Linked DNA regions of Danio rerio. The protein of the gene in region 3 interacts with the protein of the main gene of each other region in a pairwise test. Links are inferred from orthologs where the notes say so. Each region holds a gene or a part of one and is shown on either strand. Other genes may lie near its edges.

Region 1 (3,949 bases), on a different chromosome or scaffold from region 3:
AAATAAAATAATTGTTCATTAATTTTAATCGAGTTAAAATGTTTAGTTAAACAGGATTTTGATTTTAGGCCAAATTGCCCAGCCCTATAAGTGGCCATCAATAATTATTTTCATGGTATTCTTCCATTCATTCATTCATTCATTCATTCATTCATTTATGCATTCATTCATTTTCTTTTTGGCTTAGACCCTTTATTAATCAGGGGTCGCCACAGCGGAATGAACCGCCAACTTATCCAGCATATGTTTTACACAGTGGATGCCCTTCCAGTTGCAACTCATCACTGGGAAACATCCATACGCACTCATTCACACACATACACTATGGACAATTTAGCTTAGCCAATTCTTTTTATTGTCTATTAGTTACATTTTGGTCTGGAAATGTTGATTTTTTAAAAGCATTTTTACATTAAAATTAGCTGTATTTGTTCATTGTATCGGAAATGTTTTGTAAGATTCTTACTTTAAATTTTCGGACGTTATTGTGTACATTTTCTACCATGGAATATTGCCATGTAATTAAAACATTACATCATTTCACCCAGAAGTTATTCTTTCTTTCTTTCATTCTTTCTTTCTTTCTTAATCTATGTTTTTAGTAAGTAATTCTGTCCACATTAAATTAAATTTACAAGTGCCATTTTGAGGGATGTAAACAAAAACAATAGTCCCAACGAATTTCCTGTTTTACTTGTTTAATTTCTATAGAATCCGAAAAGAGTCACATTTTAATAAAAATTGTTGTGAAATCTGTGTTATGAGTGAATCGCCTCTTGCCACAGTTTTGAAATAGTTTGATAATAAGAAGGAAATGTTCATGGGCCTTTACAAACCATGTATATTAAATATTAGTAAAGTTGCAGTTTTAACATTTTCTGGGATAGATGAAAATTATATCATTCAGCGGTTACTGTAAAGCAACATTCAGACATCTGCGTATTAAAATAATGTGTAGATATATTCCACAATATGTGAATTATTTAGTTTGAATGTCTTTTGTATATTTTTAGATTGCACATAAGTTAAAAACCTCGCTCATGAGGAATCGCTCACATCTGCAGCGCGCATCGTCGTGAACGCGCACCTGTTGCACGGTGTTCAGTCTATGGTTCAGCGTCTGACGCGCGGAACTGCAGTGACTGAAAAGTTTCCGTTTGTTCCGGGAGGACGTTTGTTTGGCAAAGCTGGAAGTCGAAAAGCTCACACGACAGAATAAACGACAGAAAAATCCTGCGCCTTTGGTAAGTGAACATTTGAACGCATGTCGTAAAGCTTTTATTCGGTTTATCTGTTGAATGTAAGGAACATGTTTACTACACTGTTTGTTTATATTGTGCCTTCTGCAGTTTCCTTTGAGATACAACGAGTTTCTCTAGTGTTGTCATTATTAAGTCTTAATGGGCTGCATTTAAGACCTAAATATGCGTGCTAAGTTATTTTTTAATGTTCATGTACTTTAGCTGTTAGTTTTCTTTTGCAACTTAAGTTTAATTCTTTTAATAAATTCGATTACATAGTTTAATTTTATCGTGTATAAGAGCAACATAGTTCTGTATAACAGGAGGAAAGTCCATTGTAGTGCTCACATTACTCCTCTCTGTTTTCCCTCAGACATTTAAAGAATGAGGAAAAGTTTGCCTCAGATTGTCTATTTGTTCGGGATGTAGACCAAACCAGTTTTAATGAAAGGTTATTATATTTTTTCCTCAACCTTTTGTCACCAGTTTATCTCTAAGGACATTTACAAGCCTTTTACTGTTAATGGTTATCATAAGTGTCTCATTTAGTATTGTAGGTTTACTAAAGACCTCCACCCATCGTTGTGTTTCCTTAAAGGGTGGCAACTCTTGTGATACACACACACACACTGAATGTTGTTCCTCTTTTCCTGATGACATTCCACCGCTTGGCCTCTTTTCCCATACTCTGTTGGCCTTTAGTAATAAATTTTATTCATTAGCTGTCCATAATTCTCCAGCCAACAAATCAAAACAAGGTTCTCATGCTCTCTGGGTATGTTTTCCCCACTACTGTTTTTCCATTCAGAGGTAGCATGATAAGTCTTGTTTATAAATATTTATCCTTCATTTTCTTTTCGGCTTAGTCCCTTTATGAATCAGGGGTCTCCACAGCGGAATAAACCGCCAACTTATCCAGCATATGTTTTATGTAGCAGATGCCCCTCCAACTGCAAACCGTCACTGAAACAACCATACACAATCAGTCACACCCATACACTATGGACTATTTAGCTTACCCAATTTACCTATAGCGTATGTTTTTGGACTATGAAGGAAACCGGAGCACCCGTAGGATACCCATGCCAACACGAGGAGAACATGCAAACTCTACACAGAAACGCCAGCTGACCCAGCCTAGGCACAAACCAGTGACCTTTTTGGTGTGAGGCGATCGTGCTACCCATTGCGCCACCGCATTACCTATAAATATTTCTATTTTTGCTAAATAAATATATTATTATATATGAAGAGTGCAGATGCAAAAGTGCCATCTGAGATTTTCTTCTAATATTAGCATTTTTACCAGGCTCCTGTTTCTTGATTCCGGTGATGTTTTTCTCAGGAATTGTAATTTTTAGGTAGTAGTTTTAAAAATGTGAACTTTTACTTTACATTTTAGTTTAGTATCGGTACTTTTACTCTACTACTTTCCTTCAACCTGCAGTCACTACTGTATTTTTTTCTTGTCTATGGGGATTAGAAAAATCAGTCCTGTGATTCCTGTCCAATCAAATCCCACATAGAAGGTAAGTCACATCATAATGAACTACCTCAAGACATGGTTGATTTACTGTTTGCAAGCATTAAAAGTTTCCAAGAAAATGTCCAAAATTGACCCAGAGAAAGTTTAGATACAGGTCACTGATGAAAATATGATGCATGATTACTGTATGTTGGCCAAAATGGCCTTGAACACCCAGCAGGCACAAGATGTCAAGATGATGTCAGATTGACGTTGTGCCCAAACTTCGTGGGGATGTTGCATTTTATTTGGAAATTAAAATCCGGTTGACATCAGAACCCAACGTCAGCCTGACATCAATGTCAAACATAAAATCAACCAAATATCAACTTCTAATGATGTTACAGCTTGACGTTGTGTGGACGTTACCACTATGACGTCTATCAGATGTTGGATTTTGGTTGCCATACCTGACGAATAAATGTCTTTGACAAGTATTTGACATCAATATGATGGTTTAGGATGTTGGCTCAACTTTGAATTTTGGTCACTTTTCAACACAACCTAAAATTAACCAAACATCATTCGACCTCATTTTTGGACATCAAAAAAACGTTGTCCTTAGACGCTTACTAGACATTGAATTTTGGTCACCTGACGTCACAAAGTAAATGTAACCTAATATTAACATCTTACGTTGTGTGCCTGCTGTGCAATAACTAAATGCACTACAGAATGTTATGTTTATACACATCCACAGATTACATGTAAATGCATCGGCTTTTCACAGCATAATACTCACTAGTCTTGAGTGCAATTGAATGGTCTACTTTTCACTCATACTTTGAGTAATATTCACAACAGATACTTTTACTCTACTTGCACAACATTTGTAGGCAAGTAATGGTAGTTTTACTTAAGTATGATTTTCAGTACACTTTCCACCACTGCTTGATTCAGTAATTTCACCTTTATGGCAAAGAATAGGTTATTTTCATTGCTAAGAGGCTGAGAAAAATGTTCATTGTAAAAGAAAATTCCAGATGGCACTTAGAGGTTTTTGTATCTGAACTCTTTATATATTATATTATATTATATTATATTATATTATATTATATTATATTATATTACATTACATTACATTACATTACATTACATTATATTATATTGTATTATATTACACTTTTTAGTGTGCTATGCAAGCCTTGTATCTTCACTGGTTTAGAGGATTTTTGAAATTTCA
Region 2 (4,142 bases), on a different chromosome or scaffold from region 3:
GAGATGTAAATGTTTATTATGAAAAACCACACTACATTAGATTTATTGTAAAAAAGTGTTATACAACTATGGTTTCCCGTCAGTTTTTACTGCAAACAACACATGCGCAAGCCCTAAATGATGAGTACAAGGGCGTTCAGCAAAAGCAATCTTTTCTTAAAAAAATGGGGAACCAGAAAAAAAGTGCATTTTTAACATGATTGTGTGTGCAGGTTTCAAGGAGATTTCGGGATTTAATGCGTCTGTTCCACACGTCAGCTTCTCAGGCCAGTTCAGAGGACGAGGCTGCAGAGCAGCAGTCGGCCACTGATGAAGAGCAGGACTGAACCCTGCCTTCTGACTGCTTCATTAAAAAATACTTATGCAGTTCTTCTTACACTGACACCTGCCAAAGATGTGTTTTAAGCATGGTGGAAAAAAAGGTTCTGTTGGCCTCCTTTTAACATGTGAAGTATAAATCCATCATATGAAGGTGCTATCCGTCACGTTCTAAACACAAAACCAACATAATTATTGAAGAAATGTAGCACAAACTGCTCCATTTTATCCCTGATTATTGTATTGTAATTGGACAAATGACAGGCTCTCACTTAGCACAAAATGAGATGTTTGATAGCAGAGAAATTGTAGAGCACTAACCAGCATATTCTCACCTCCATGGTTTCTGACAGGTTGATTGTATATTCTGTGAATATGTGAACATATGGCATGTACAGTATTTTTATATCAGGGTGGTTTTGTTGTTTTTATTTTGCTTCAGATGTTAGTTTTGAGAATGGCGCACAGTTGTTGGTAATCCAAATAATAAAATGACTATTTATACCATGTTTTGAGTCTGAATTAAACATGATTAAACATTATGCAGTGAAGGATGACTGTTCCATTTTGAGGTTCACAATAAATTTTATTTACAAGGGATTTGAAATCCACTGAAAGTCTATTAATAGCATGATATATGTGAAAAGCGCTTTCATCGTAATATTGTGGAAGATGTGTAAATATTAAATGTTTATTCTGTATATTTATTCTACAATACAATATTTATTCTCGCCTGTTCTTAACCTTTTGATGCACCACATGGGTCTAAATTGACGGGTCTAAGGTTATTTTTTCTATATCTATTTTGGAGCTTGTGCATCAAAAGGTTAAAATTATTAAAACAATGTGATTATACTACATATATTTTCATTAGATTTTAAATAAGTTGTAATCATTTAAAATCTAATGAAGATGCATGGTGTGTATGTTTTTAAAAGAACGTACACACGCAAAATTTATTTAATCCATTTTATGCCAAAACGCGTTTGGTTAATCGTCATCAGTGACCCTTGTCACTTCCCGTAGTTGCCGGTGTCATGCCTGCTCTCTTGCTGAGCGCGTGGTAGCGATTGTTGGTCTTTTCCCTTCTTTTTATTTTAGTAAGCTGTTACGATTTACAGAAGTAAACAGCTAAAATACTCAGAATTAACGAATATTGTCAATGTGCAGTTGGCTGATGTGTTTTACCTTCATATTCGAGTGCAGAGTTTAAGAATTCATGGCAGAAACGGTCCAAGAAAAGAGTACAGGACTAAAGTTCGCTGAGGAGCAGCTTCTACGACACGGATGGGAAAAGGGTAAAAGCACGATATATTTGTTGTGCTCATGATTCATCACAAACTCATGGCAGATATGATTGATTATGACGCTTCGTCCGCCATAGACGGACCAATCCTCACTGGTGTGTTATGGTTGTGTGTGTGTGTGTGTGTGTTGTAGGTAAAGGTCTGGGCAGAGCAGAGAATGGCATTTCAGAGGCGATTAAAGTCAAAGTTAAATGTGATAAAGGAGGGGTGAGTGACAAAACGATTTTTATTAAGATCTCTATTTTGCGTGCAACATGTGGGTAGTTGACAACACGGGCAAGACGTTTTATGTTGTTGCAGGTTCACAAACCATAGAACAGGGGTGTCAAACTCAATTCCTGGAGGGCCGAAGCCCTGCACAGTTTAGTTTCCAACCCTGCTCCAACACACTTACTTGTAGGTTTCAAACAAGCCTGAAGGACTCAATTAGTTTGATCAGGTGTGTTTAATTAGGGTTGGAACTAAACTGCAGAGCTGCGGCCCTTTTGAAACTGAGTTTGACACCTGTGCCATTGAAGGTGTCATTAATTTGATACAAATAAAATGGAAGTCTATGAAATATCCTCACCAAGACATGAAAACAAATGTTTGTTTATTTGTAAAAGCTTTAGAATTTGTTTAAAAAAAAAACCTGTGTGTGCTTAAAATTTAAAGACGTCATCAAGAGTGCACTTAAAACATTTCTACTATCTTTCTAATAAGTTGAGCCAGAGATTTCAGCCTAAAGCTCTGATTACCATTCTTGTTCAATTCCGTAACATTGCTTCTGAACTTTGGCAAAAGCTATTATTGATAGTCTGTGTATGTAAAATCAGAACCTAATTAACTAATTATGTCAGAAAACCCTGTTCTCTCTAATTAGGGGACACAGCCTGTATATCTTTTATATGGTATTGTTATGTATGATTTCATTACGATTTTTTTCTTTATTAAAGAAAATGCTAAATGAACTCAAGTACAATTATTGTTATATTTTTTATTCCAGTACATTTATTTCAATATAATTATTTGTCTAGGTTTGACCACAAAGAACCAAACATAACTTTAAAATGAACTACAACAATATTATTATTACAATGAAAACTGTATAATAATTCTACATGATTTACTTCCAAAAACTGTTTTAGATAAAGTACAGCATTGTAGGTCTAATCAAAAGTCCTTAAATGTATATTTTGTTTTTATTCATGTATCATTTGTCTTCAGATGGGCCATAAGCAAGGAGAGCAGTTTAGTTTCCACTGGTGGGACCATGTTTTTAACAAAGCCTCGTCTGGTCTGGTAGTGGAATCGGGGCAGGTAAGGAATGAGGAGGATTGAATGCAATTTTACAATGTCCAAAAAAGTGTCTATGGTTTATTTATTTATTTATTTTCTCAAACAGTCTGGATCTTTAAGTGAATACTAAAAAAATGTTGGCATAGAGTTGGTTTGTGTAATATGCAGCATGTTGTAGTTTGTAATGCGGGCTCATTTGATGTTGTTTATTATGCGTCAGAATGGTGTGATGGTGAAGAAATCAGATGACAGCAGTGATGGACTGATCTCCAACAAGAAGCCACGCAAAGCTCAGCAAGCCAAGTCCATGCTCTATGGATGTTTTGTCAAGGTACAAAACCACAAACAGCACAAATAATAAATGGAAAAAAATACAATTCAGTTGTATTTTCAAGAAGCATGTGTGAATGAATGAATGTTTAAAAATCTGTTTCCTCTGTTAGTCTGCTACGCTACTGTCAGGAGAAGAACAGCCAGAGAAAATCAGTGATGCAGAAGACGACAGCAGCAGCTCTTCTGAAGACGAGGACCAGAAACTCGACCTGTCTACCACTACTAAGTATGAGCTGCCAATATTACTATTACTAAATGTCCAACAAGGGAACTTCAAGATGGTGTTTTTTAGTTTTCCCTCATCTGTGTATTTCTGTGTCTGATTTAAGGCTGTCTGATGCAGATCTGCTGAAAGCTTGTGGAGGACGAACAGCACACAAGTACGTTTACAATATTGTTATCTGCACTAATGTAATAATATATTAATTCCTAATAGTTAAAATTATATAAATAATACTGTAAGAACTCTTAACGTTGATGCATTCCCATCACATTTGAGTTAGACATTTAAGGTTTAAGGGTCACACTTTACAATAAGGTTCATTAGTTAATGTTAATTAATGCATTTACTAACATGAACAAACAATGAACAATACATTTACTACTGTATTTGTTCATGCTAGTTAACGTTAGTTAATGAAAACAGTAGTTCATTATTAGTTCATTTTAACTCATGGTGCATTAACTAATGTTAATTAGTAAATGTTCAGTTATGATTAATAAATGCTGTACAAGTGTTGTTCATGATTAGTTCATGTTAGTAAACACATTAACTAATGAACCTTATTTTAAGTGTTACCGGTTTAAGAAGAATCAAGGAAAACATTTCATTGTAATATTAATGATTTTATAGGTTATTCATTTGCAATTAAGACAATACATTAATACACATTTTCAATTAGATTA
Region 3 (2,934 bases):
GATGTTTGGTAGGATTAGAGATGTAGAACAAGATCATGCCAGTACTTTAATTATAGGCAGTTAGTAAGCCACACTTGCAATCAGAACTCGAAGAATAAGACTATGAAAATGGCTGAAATCTTTACAACAATGTGAACATTCAATAAGATTCATTCAGGTCTAACTTTACATTTTCTTTTAGTTTTCTGGTTGATTCATGTTTTATGTTTGTGGCTCTGTACATAAGTTTGTTGTATTACCATGTAAAAAAAATCTCCTGTTTCCCCTGTGTTTTTTCCCCTAATTTCTGTTTAACGGAGAGAAGATTTTTTTTCCAACACATTTCTAAACATAATAGTTTTAATAACTCATCTTTAATGACTGATTTATTTTCTCTTTGCCATGATGACAGTAAATAATATTTGACTAGATATTCTTCAAGTCACTTCTACACAGCTTGAAGTGATATTTAAAGGCTTAACTAGGTTTATTAGGTTAACTAGGCAGGTTAGGGGAATTAGGAAAGTTATTGTATAACGATGGTTTGTTCTGTGGACTATTGAAAAATATATAGCTTAAAGGGGCTAATAATTTTGACCTTAAAATGTTTTTTTTTTTAATTAAAAACTGTTTTTATTCTAGCCAAAATAAAACAAATAAGACTTTTTCCAGAAGAAAAAATATTATCAGACATACTGTGAAAATTTCCTTGCTCTGTTAAACGTCATTTGGGAAATATAAAAAAAAGAAATTCAAGTGGGGGAATGTGTGTGTATATGTAAATTTATTTTTAATTATTTATTTAATTATAATTTTGTTTTTTACATAATACAATGAACTACAATAAATAGCACTAGAGGTGCTATTTAGCTTCATGCTTCAAGCCCAATGTTCATGCCCTTGGATGTCTTTTTATAACAATGGCAAGACTGTAAGCTGGGACTTACACTGTGTTTCCTATTTTTTTTATGCACCTGTCAATTTTAATGTAAAAAAACACGGAGAATACATTGAAATCTACAGATGCTGATTGATAAAGTGCGACAATTACAATACATATATCCAAACGTCATTTAAGGGATGCGTACTGATGGTTGGAATAATCAATATTTCTCAGAGTAAAATCAAAAAATACTTGCGAATGCTAAATATATTTTCTGTACAAAATATCAGACCTGAGTCTAATGTACATGTACTTAATGTTAGATGAGCATAATGGGCCACAACGTCTTGAACAATAAAAGAAACCTGCACTTTAGTGAGTCAGCATTACTATTGTTGTTTTTTGGAGCAGCAAAATGTGTAATCAAAATGTATTTAATAAGTTTATTAAATGTATATCTTCAGTTATACGTCATATAAAAGTTACTGTTGTTATAAGAAATATTTAAATATTTGTTTATAGTATATACAAAATAAACCATTAAAAAAATGTCTGCATGGCTAATTTCTGAATTACAGAGCGCAATAAGATTTCCATATTCCTCCTTTATAAAAACCTTTGGCTCAACAAAAAAAAAATTACTCAACTTGCTGAATAGTCAGATTTGTGCACTAAAAATGTATGCAAATTAGCACATGTTGAAATAATGTATTATTTGCATATGTAAACATCACACTTTAAAAAAACTTAAATGCCTTTTATGTTGTTGTTTGAATTATTGATGTAATTAATCAGCTGGGAAAATGTGGAGATCACGATGAGCTGATGCTTTGCTCCTCTTCTGCTGTTGTAGATGATAAAGCTCCTGCTAGTGAGGTGGTCAGCAGCGTCTCCAGTGTCCTGTCTCAGTCTGGACAGGAGATCTGCAGCCTTCTGGAAAGCAGCGACATTGACAGGTATGTGCGTCTGTTCATTTGAATATCTGTAAACCTTTTCCGTTATGACTCAGTTCAGGGACGTCGGCTGATGGCGGTCCACATCTACCTGATGCTTTAAGTTCATATTTGAATCATCCGAACACATCCACACAGTTAATGACGGCATTTAATGGTCAAATGAAATAGGAGTAAAACACAAATTATTTCTTTTATTTTAATCATATTATTTTCAGCAGGTCTAAGACTAGAATAGCTATAGGAAATGTACTTTTTATTCTGTAAACTACTGTGCTGATACTGCTGGTAAAAAAAAAAGTTTAATAGAGAACATAGAAACATGTTTAGTAGAGACTTTTTGGTGAAAATATATTTGTTTTTGCAAAAGATAACAAGGAGCCATGTTTTCATACATTAAATACATTTTTTAGACAACAAAATGCCTTTTTCAACTAAAGAAGATACTCTCCACATTTTCATGCAACATTTTGCCGTTACAGAATTTACTAATGTCCATTTTAGTGCTGAGCAAAGATTAATCGCATCCAAAAATCTAAGCTCGTTTTGACGTTGTGTGTGTGTGAGCGCTGTGTATATTTATCAAGTACATTTAAATACACCCATGCAGGCACATATTTGAGAAGATATTTATAAATATCTATACACAGTGTTATATATCTCATTGGTATCATTCACATATATTTTATAAGTTGTCTGTTTATATTATCTATGTCAGGGTTTCTCAACTGGTTTGGCCATGGGACCCACATTTTTACATGGTCATCAGGCCGCGACCCAAATTTTTAGGAACTATAATATAATTTTAGGAAATATAATTCATTTGTATTTATTTGTTAACACACAAGTAATGACTGATGAATCAAAACGTATCAAATTATAGAAATATTTCAGAGTAAAAACGTCAAATACTGTAAACAGTGGTTTGGGTAAGGAAAAGTTTAGTTACTATTAACTAAACTGAACTGTTAGTAAAACATTAACACATGATCCGGTTGAACAGAAAAACAGCAAATTAAAGTAAACATATTAAAATAATCATAACCATTTTTATAATAATCACCAGTTATTTGCTCTTCTGCTTTTGTGTGGGCTTTCTTGGCCTTTGCTACACGGTGA
Region 4 (4,189 bases), on a different chromosome or scaffold from region 3:
TCACACTGAGGTCTGTATTTTGTATTTTGTTGTTCATTGTGTAATGGTTAATTGAAAGAGCTCATATACTTGTTAGCAAGTTGTGTTGTTTGAAGGTTAAAATAGCTTTTGTTGCATATTTTAAATGTTTTGACACGGCATGTGCATTTTGCAACCAAAATGTGTTATTTTGACCATGAGTGCCGCTGTTTAGGCCTGTGTTTTAACTGTTTTAAAAATGTGGAGTTTCAGTTGACGGCTGCATGAAAGCAATCCAAGGAAAACTGTAAAATAAATTAAGCAAAATATCTTATTAAAAGACTTAAACTGCACAAAAATCAGTAGTCTAAAAATCCATATATATTTAAATGTATATATATACCCACACGCAAAAATAATAATATTGTAATGAAACTATATTTATAAAAATAAATCGATCATCAATAGACAGAAGTTAAGGAATTAAATTAACCCTATAAAAATGATATTCATCAAATATAAGGCTGCATCCAGTCAGGAAAGATTAAACTGTTCTGATGGGCTCTAGAGAGGCAGAAACAGGCAGCTATTATTCTGCCAGCTTATTTGCATGTATATTGACTTTGCTAACCTGATTCATGCTTTGCACTTTGCACAACTTGTGTAATAGTATATTTTATAATATGCTTCGCATATAGTTAAGCAAACATATAGTTAATGGATGTGACAGAGAAAAAATGTGTCTCATGTCAAACCCGGCTCTTAAACCAACCTCACAAACTATAAAAGAGAGTGCTTCAATATCTTGAGTTAAAAATGGAAAAGACTGTCTGATAAAGAGCTTGAGCTCAGACACAATTGACGGTGGTCTTTTATTGTGCGTCTGGTCAGGGGACAAGGTCATTTAGAGAGATACCAACACCGAAGATTCACACGTTCCTCTGGGAGTTCTCATTGACAATGCCAGCTAAATGTTAACCACATGTAGCCTACTTGCTTTTTAGAGCATTGAATGGTTTGTAAAGAATTTATTATTTGTTCAACATAAAAACGAGGATATAGAAGATCTAGACTCTGAATTATAGGTGATCAGTCAATAGCAGTGCTGCAGGAACATTCATTTATTCCAACAGCTGCATATTAATAAATTCAAGCTTTTCATTTTGGTTCAGAAATAGTCACTCTTCTACTTAGCATTTATTTCTCCTGTGGGACTTGTGGTATAATTGGTATTCTTTTGAGAATGTCTTGTGTGTTCATTTTAGTTTAATTAAAATGTTTAACCCAAAAAATTATATTGTATGACTGACTACTTGTCGAGGTTTAGCAGCAAACAAAAGAGGACCATTTACCTACCATCCTGACTTGAGTAAGATGGCGCTAGATCCTATTTGCTTGTTGTCCCTTAGAGGGCGCCGTAGTGTTAAGTCGCGTGTTAAACTGTCAGCTGACATCCCGGAAGTTATCCAAGTAACAAACATCGCTGCCAGTTTCTGAACATTTCGTGTTTCTTATTAGTTTAATAGCCTTATTTAGGACGCTGTTATGGAGGGTGCACTGGAGCAGCATCTTGACGATACGTATGTTTAAAAAGAAACCACTTTCTTTTCTTACGCATGTAACGTTACTCGTTTTGCGTCTTCATTTACTGATCTCCTTTCTCACTCTAGGATGAAAAATCCAGCTATTGTTGGGGTTTTGTGCACAGACGCTCAAGGACATAATCTAGGGTGTAAGTAATTTTTATATTTTCCTTAATACTTCCCTTAGTATAGTTTTCCTCTGGTGACCATGATTTGCTTGGTTTACATGTACTGGGTTTTCACTTGCAACAAGAGGTTAATATTGCTTTTAATATTTACACATGTGTTGAAGGTATGTAAAACGTTTTGAATTTTTATTAGTTTGATTTGTTTCTCAAAACAGGGAACGGGTGTCTACTGTGGACAACTTTATAACTGTGTTATTGACCAACTTAAAGTTAACTGAAACAATGGTAAACAAAAAAACATGGTTAACTGGGAGAAAATACAAGCCTATTCAAATGTAATTATGCAAAAAAAATGTAAAGTAAAATTAAATGATGTATAGATATAGTTTGAGTAGTAAAATCTATAATGGCATGTGTAGTATTAAAAATATTAATCTGATAAATTAATTCAACTTGAGCATTTTAAGCCTGCTTTTTCAGTGTATTACCATGTGCAAAACAATATACAATTTAAAACTTTTCAACAAAATATAGGGTTATAGAATTGTGCTTTATATAGATTCTCAGTTGACTCTTTTCCATTTGGTTTCCAGAACTTGAAAATATACTGTAATTCTCAATGACATTACAAATATTTTAATCTCCAGGCCGGGGCTCACTATCTGATGAACATGGAGGAGTTGTATCTGTACTGGCCAAGCAGGCTGCTTCTCTAACCAAAGATGCCACCGACTGTCCTACAGTGTGCCTGGAGTCTGACTGTGGGTAAGGAAAGCTTCTTGACCAGCATCTGTCTTATTTCTATGTATCTTGAGAATTTTTTGATTTGAGAGACAACAAAACAATCTGCAGAAATCGATGACATTAATTAAGAAAGTTAAATGAGGGAAAGTCAGTTAAACAACAATCTTTGAAAGTCATTCATCCCATTATACCTTCCCTCTTCCACACACACCAGTTGTCACTAAAGTGTATATATAGTGACGTGTAATAAGTATTGAAACTATCAAATTGGCGTGTGACTTTCTCAGAAAGTATTCCATTCATTTTAATTCATCAAGGATTAATATTTTGTGCTGGTCATTTGGTTGCTTTAGAACTGTCTTGGATCAATATCACTCAAAACCACCAATAGATGGCGGCAAGTCTTAATGAGTGATTCATTGAATCATTGATATTTGTAGTATGGATATAATTATAGAGAGGCATATGATTTCTTATGAGTTTTTGGGGGTTTATTATTTTAAAAAAAGCACTATTATCAAGTAAATGTTTTTAAGTAATGGTTAATTTTTTGCCACTATCATTATGGATATTCAATCAAAAGTAATGAAAGCAATGGAACCATTTCAATATAATGCATGGCATATGTATTACTAATTAATAGATGTAATTCATCTTTTTTTAAAGTTAATGCGGATGGGTTTAAACAAAGTAAATCAATTGATTTTAACATTATAATTCCTGTACACAGTAGTTAATAAAGATTGAACATTTAACTAAACGGTTTTAAAAATGTCTGCACAGCCACAAATTTGTTGGCAATATGCTAAAAGAATGTAACTTGCCATTAAACAAGAACAACGAAAAAATAAAAGGCGCTCTTTTTTTTTTTTTTTTTAGCATTAATTTCTCACCCATGACTTGTGGAATTGCTATTCTTTTGAGAATGTCTTGTGTGTTTATGGTTGGCAGATTCTTAAGTTGACTGAACTTGCCACCAGCTGTGATTTTTAGAAACTGATATACCTGGAGTAAGCACCGTCTGACCTGGGATAGGGAAGAGCAGGGCACAAAGTAACACTTTTTGGTTTTGGCCAAATAATGAACAAAGTAATGGGCTTAGACAAACCATTTTTTGTACCAACAACACACAAACTGTCTCCTACAGTTTCTGTGCAGTATTGCCAAAAGTGCCAGGAGCAAAAATGTTACTATTTGCCCCAGCAGTGGGGCACGTTGTAACAAACAGAGGGTAAGTTGTAACGCATGCTTACAAAGGCAGATTCCACACAGTTAATTTAATTTCTGTTTACTTTAAATAGTAGCTATATTTCCTCAGTACTTGGCTCAATTTATTTTGTGTTATACATAGCACAGCATGTTTATTTACTTATTTATCCACTTAATGAACACATTTGGATTTTTTTTTTGCATTATTATAAAATGCGTTTATTTGCATTATTAGCAATAAAACTAATTTTTTCTATTAAAAAATATATATTTTCTATAAAAAAATCATGTTTATTTAAAAAGTTCTCAACATTACATTATCAAAAATAAAAAATAAAAATATTCAGTTAGTTTAATTGGTGTCCAACAGTGTGTGGCTTAATTGTAACACCCTGTTACAACTAACCCTGCTGTGTCGTGTTTTCTTCAAAACTGACTAGCAGTCACTGTCTTTTTACATCTTTCAAAATGGTTTCATCTTTTAGCCTAGAAGATGGTAATCACAGCAATATAAGATTTTTTCGTACATGCTTTCACAGATGTTTTTTTAAGTAAAACAAATTTGCT
Region 5 (4,151 bases), on a different chromosome or scaffold from region 3:
TTGTTGTTGTTTTTATTACTGTTTTATCCTAAAATGTTGATTGTTAAAATGTACAGTTTATTCTGATCAATTATGTTTATAATTGAATTGTATAAATAATATGATATATTGAATAACATGATATATTAAATATATTGTATTTTATTTGAATATTATATGTTTTTTTTTGCTTTACTACTATATATTGTGTGTACTGTTTTTTTATTATACATGTATGTTACTTTATGTAAACTTTTTATTCAATACATTTGTAACATTTGTCATGCCAATAAAGCAATTATTGAAATTAATTTAGAGAAAGGCATAAAATTACAAAATGAATTCAATTAATTTAAAACAAAGTGTTTCAGAATCATTCAGAGGCCCTTGTTTATTTGTAATTTACAGGATAAACAGCATTTAATTTATAAAATAAATAACAAAAAAATGGAATATAATAAAAATTTGCTCATATCTGGTCATTTCTCAGTAAATATGCACAAAATATCCAATGATTTTACACTATTTACAGCCAGCCACACTTGGCTTTAGGGCTGTGCGATTTGGGGAAAATAGCTAATTGCGATTTTTCTGACAGATATTGCTATTGGATTTACGAATAATTTTGTAGTCGAGCTCAATATTCTAAGTTGTGGCAACAATTCTGCAACAGCTCTTAAAAATGACCTGTTTTTGACTTTGAAAACAAAATATTCCCAGTGCTGTTTTTCTTTGGTATTAATTTGTCGATTAATGCTTCTGAAGCAGCCGACACCATCATCCCACTTATCAGCGCTTTCCGGTTTGGTTTCTCTTTTTTATTGTGGCTGTAGTTCGGTTGCAAAATTCTGATTGAGCAGAACAAAAGTGTGCTCACTCAATTGGCTGGTAAGACTGTCACACACAGCCATCAGTCGCTCATGTGCTCTGGGTGGGGGAAATTAAACAATATATACATTTCATATTGCAGCCTCTTGCGAATAACTAATCACAACGTTTTAAATTGGGATACGAGTTTGATTAATCTCACAGCTCTACTTGGCTTCATCAACACTATAGGCGATTTTGAATGATAAAAATATTATAATACACATACTCATAAAAACTTTTTGGTCCATTTAAAAAAAGAAAAAAAAAAACGCACATTATAATATATACACATTTATTTTCTATTTAGTATTAGGCTACAATATTATTTTGTTCCTCCTACTAATAATATACTATTACAATTACTATAATAATTTAATTATGATATTTACACATTCAAATGTTATTAGTTAGAACTTGCAATTATCTAAATGTTATTTATTATATTTGTTTTTTAAATTACTTATTTGAATCTCACAAATGTTCATCTTCATTTAATAATTAGATGGTATACATTTTCTTTTAAAAAATGCTTATAGTAATAATTTGTAATTTATTAATTAAATTTTTATTATTATTATTATTATTAGTTAATTTATTATTTTGTTTGGCTAATATTTTACAATAAAATCTGCATGAATGACCCCTTTCCCCAGTTTGAGAACCTCTGATTTAATCAATGACGTGGCCCCGCCCAAAACTGACAAACATTGGTTGAAGCAGGCAGAAATCCTTTACTGATTGGCTGATAGTAGCCAACAAATCGAAGAATCAGTTTCTTAAAAGATCCTAGTGTGATTTTTCATTACAATTTCGGTGTTCGGTTAGGCATAGAGTACATTTAATGCATGGCAGTCACACACAGAAAAAAATATCTGAACAAGGATAATATCTGAACAATCCCTAACCAGCAAGGGAAAAAAAGCCTTGTGTCGAGGTCACATGATACGGATGCCAAAAATTTGTCTTTGCACTCGCCGCCCCCTCCAATGCTTTACACTGGCCATTCATTCATTTTTTAAGCTAATTCTCCTCTTATTTGGTGTCCAAAATGTCAGCACCTCCCCTTAAAACATGTTCTGGAATATACGATATCATCACTTCATGGATCACATGGACACTTACAACAATGTTTCGTAAAATCAGAGTACCATGCATTTAAAAAAATGTTTAATATAACATTAGACTAACATTTTCAGTGTAATGTTATTTTGTATTTAATGTAAATACTAATGTTTAAACAATCGTGTCTTGTAAAGCCTGTAGTGAGTCCCTCTACTACCCCACGTGTGTTCAGGGCGTCACAAGGTCAAAATCACTCCGCGTCACGACACAGACGGAAATGATGCCTTTCATCTCCATGAGTTCACGTTATAAAGTTCCCTGGATATTCCTTTTGTTTAATCAAAATCAACCATAGTAGATTTTACACCGCTTAAATATTCCAAACATAAAAATATTTAATATTCGTAGGCCTCAATATAGCATAACTTGCAATAGTCAACTGAACACCTATAACCACTATTATACTGTCTTAAATTGCTTATAAAGCAACAGCTAAATTAAACACATGCATTACAGTTGTCAGCATAAGTGCATAACGTTATAATATGCAAAACACCCTGCTTACTATAAAGCCGGCTATTCTAATGGCTGCATCTGTCATCAAGGATAAATGTTAAAAAAAAATTAACTAATTGACAAGTCGTTCGACAAGAAACATGCACGATGCTACTTTATAACTCTGAGAAACAACGTGACAGTGTGTTACATGATTAACTTACATGCTACGATACGTCCCTGCCTGTTTGAGCTCACTGATTTCAATTATCTTTATATCAGCTTGGCATTAAAGAGCATTAAGCAATATATTGTGTTTATAGGCTTTTATGGATGAGGATAATGCTGAGTGACTTACTGCAGAGTGATCTGGAGGTGAATGAAGGGATGCGCGTGTCCGTCAGCGGAGCAGGCTGAATGATATAAGAGGAGCCGCTTTAGAGCCGCTGCAGTTCCACTCGACGCACATGTGTTCTTCATCCGGGTAACCTCCCCCGCAGCCCTGACATCTGCATAACTCAATACTCTCACATTCTATGTATGCGTTATGCTTTTTTTAAAACATACGCTTTCAGCAACTTTTGTCTCAATAATAATTGACGTATTTTGACGACAGTGGGAGAAAATGTGAACAAAATGTATCATTAATATCTATTAAATCGGTGTTATGCTCGTTCCGGGGCTTTAAGTTCGAGAAATTTCGCAGATTCTATTGGAGAAAAATAGACGTCAGAGGTCAAGATTGTGCAACCAGAAATGGTATTGCGTTTTGCAAATTTCGTTGTTTTTTTTGTTAAAGGTCTAATATTATAACCTTTTCTTATAGATTATCTACATATTAAGTCAATATATGTGTATTTATATTATATAATTACAATACTTTATTATTAATAATATTAGTATTATGTAGAAAGCTCAAGATAGCTTTTAAAAATGCATTTGAGTTGAGTTATTTGTCAATTTTATCTTTTAAAAATAAAAATCATCTATATTAAATGTGTTTGAATAACGTGAAATTTTGTACTGAAGCAGCACATGTATTATTCATTTAAATATTGTGCAAGTTATAAATGCTGTAACAATCAGATAAAAATTTCTCCTTTGTTACGAAACAACAAAAAAAGAGTCAAATGTCTTTATGTAAGGTTTGGGAGATCGAGGAATATTCTAGATTGCAGGTCTGGGGTCGGTAGGGATTGTCTTGTGGCGCATGCGCAGTGCCCTTCCAGACATTTCTTCTTCACGTGGATCGCAGGAGTGAAGTGGTCCAGTGTGACGGTCTCTTGCTGCTCTGTCGGACGCGGTTTTCTTAAAGATCAGCTAAAATGGTAAGACGCGTAAGATAATTAATCCAACTACTCCGTCTGAATGAGATGTTACTATGTTGTGTTGAATTGTTTCGCGTGATGTTTTATAACTCCCCATCAACTGCGACTGCAAGGTCACGGTTAGTAATGCAGTCGTGCCCAGATTCAATGTGTAAAAATGATTTGATGCTGAAGTTGTTAGTTAATATGGGCACGTGAAGTGTGGGTGAAAGGTTGGTTTATGTCAATAAGGTTCAGAGCTAACCCGATGTATTTAATGAATAATTTTGCTAACAGCTGGTTTATACACCAGCGTAACATTTTGGTATAACGTTAACGTTAGATGTGTAAATGGGGTTTTAATAGTGTTAATGTTACACGATAAAAAAAATGCACCTGACATTTTGTGTTATAAATACTTAACGTGTTAAGAGTGTT

Evidence for each region. The genes of interacting proteins can lie anywhere in the genome.
Region 1: the proteins of cep70 (region 3) and sytl4 interact in binary tests that used the Homo sapiens proteins (3 or more experiments, as listed by UniProt). The two-hybrid records come from large-scale screens. The link is inferred for Danio rerio from reciprocal best matches to the Homo sapiens genes CEP70 and SYTL4.
Region 2: the proteins of cep70 (region 3) and gpatch4 interact in binary tests that used the Homo sapiens proteins (3 or more experiments, as listed by UniProt). The two-hybrid records come from large-scale screens. The link is inferred for Danio rerio from reciprocal best matches to the Homo sapiens genes CEP70 and GPATCH4.
Region 4: the proteins of cep70 (region 3) and lamtor5 interact in binary tests that used the Homo sapiens proteins (3 or more experiments, as listed by UniProt). The two-hybrid records come from large-scale screens. The link is inferred for Danio rerio from reciprocal best matches to the Homo sapiens genes CEP70 and LAMTOR5.
Region 5: the proteins of cep70 (region 3) and hspd1 interact in binary tests that used the Homo sapiens proteins (3 or more experiments, as listed by UniProt). The two-hybrid records come from large-scale screens. The link is inferred for Danio rerio from reciprocal best matches to the Homo sapiens genes CEP70 and HSPD1.

What each region holds. Positions count from the first base shown.
Region 1 is NC_133189.1:40,023,272-40,027,220, forward strand, and holds the start of sytl4 (synaptotagmin-like protein 4), read left to right. Parts: upstream 1-1,137; 5' UTR 1,138-1,244; intron 1,245-1,614; 5' UTR 1,615-1,692; intron 1,693-2,724; exon of another isoform or gene 2,725-2,770; intron 2,771-3,949. UniProt on the Homo sapiens protein: Modulates exocytosis of dense-core granules and secretion of hormones in the pancreas and the pituitary. Interacts with vesicles containing negatively charged phospholipids in a Ca(2+)-independent manner.
Region 2 is NC_133191.1:32,152,007-32,156,148, forward strand, and holds the start of gpatch4 (G patch domain-containing protein 4), read left to right. Parts: upstream 1-1,330; 5' UTR 1,331-1,537; coding exon 1,538-1,616; intron 1,617-1,758; coding exon 1,759-1,832; intron 1,833-2,831; coding exon 2,832-2,924; intron 2,925-3,123; coding exon 3,124-3,234; intron 3,235-3,346; coding exon 3,347-3,462; intron 3,463-3,565; coding exon 3,566-3,616; intron 3,617-4,142. Other genes in the region: gon4lb (GON-4-like protein), read left to right, coding at 213-326.
Region 3 is NC_133197.1:12,298,232-12,301,165, reverse strand, and holds part of cep70 (centrosomal protein of 70 kDa), read left to right. Parts: intron 1-1,715; coding exon 1,716-1,818; intron 1,819-2,934.
Region 4 is NC_133183.1:26,634,994-26,639,182, forward strand, and holds the start of lamtor5 (ragulator complex protein LAMTOR5), read left to right. Parts: upstream 1-1,377; 5' UTR 1,378-1,503; coding exon 1,504-1,538; intron 1,539-1,628; coding exon 1,629-1,690; intron 1,691-2,316; coding exon 2,317-2,434; intron 2,435-4,189. UniProt on the Homo sapiens protein: As part of the Ragulator complex it is involved in amino acid sensing and activation of mTORC1, a signaling complex promoting cell growth in response to growth factors, energy levels, and amino acids.
Region 5 is NC_133184.1:33,978,047-33,982,197, forward strand, and holds the start of hspd1 (60 kDa heat shock protein, mitochondrial), read right to left. Parts: upstream 2,813-4,151; 5' UTR 2,765-2,812; intron 1-2,764. Other genes in the region: hspe1 (10 kDa heat shock protein, mitochondrial), read left to right, coding at 3,732-3,734. UniProt on the Homo sapiens protein: Chaperonin implicated in mitochondrial protein import and macromolecular assembly. Together with Hsp10, facilitates the correct folding of imported proteins.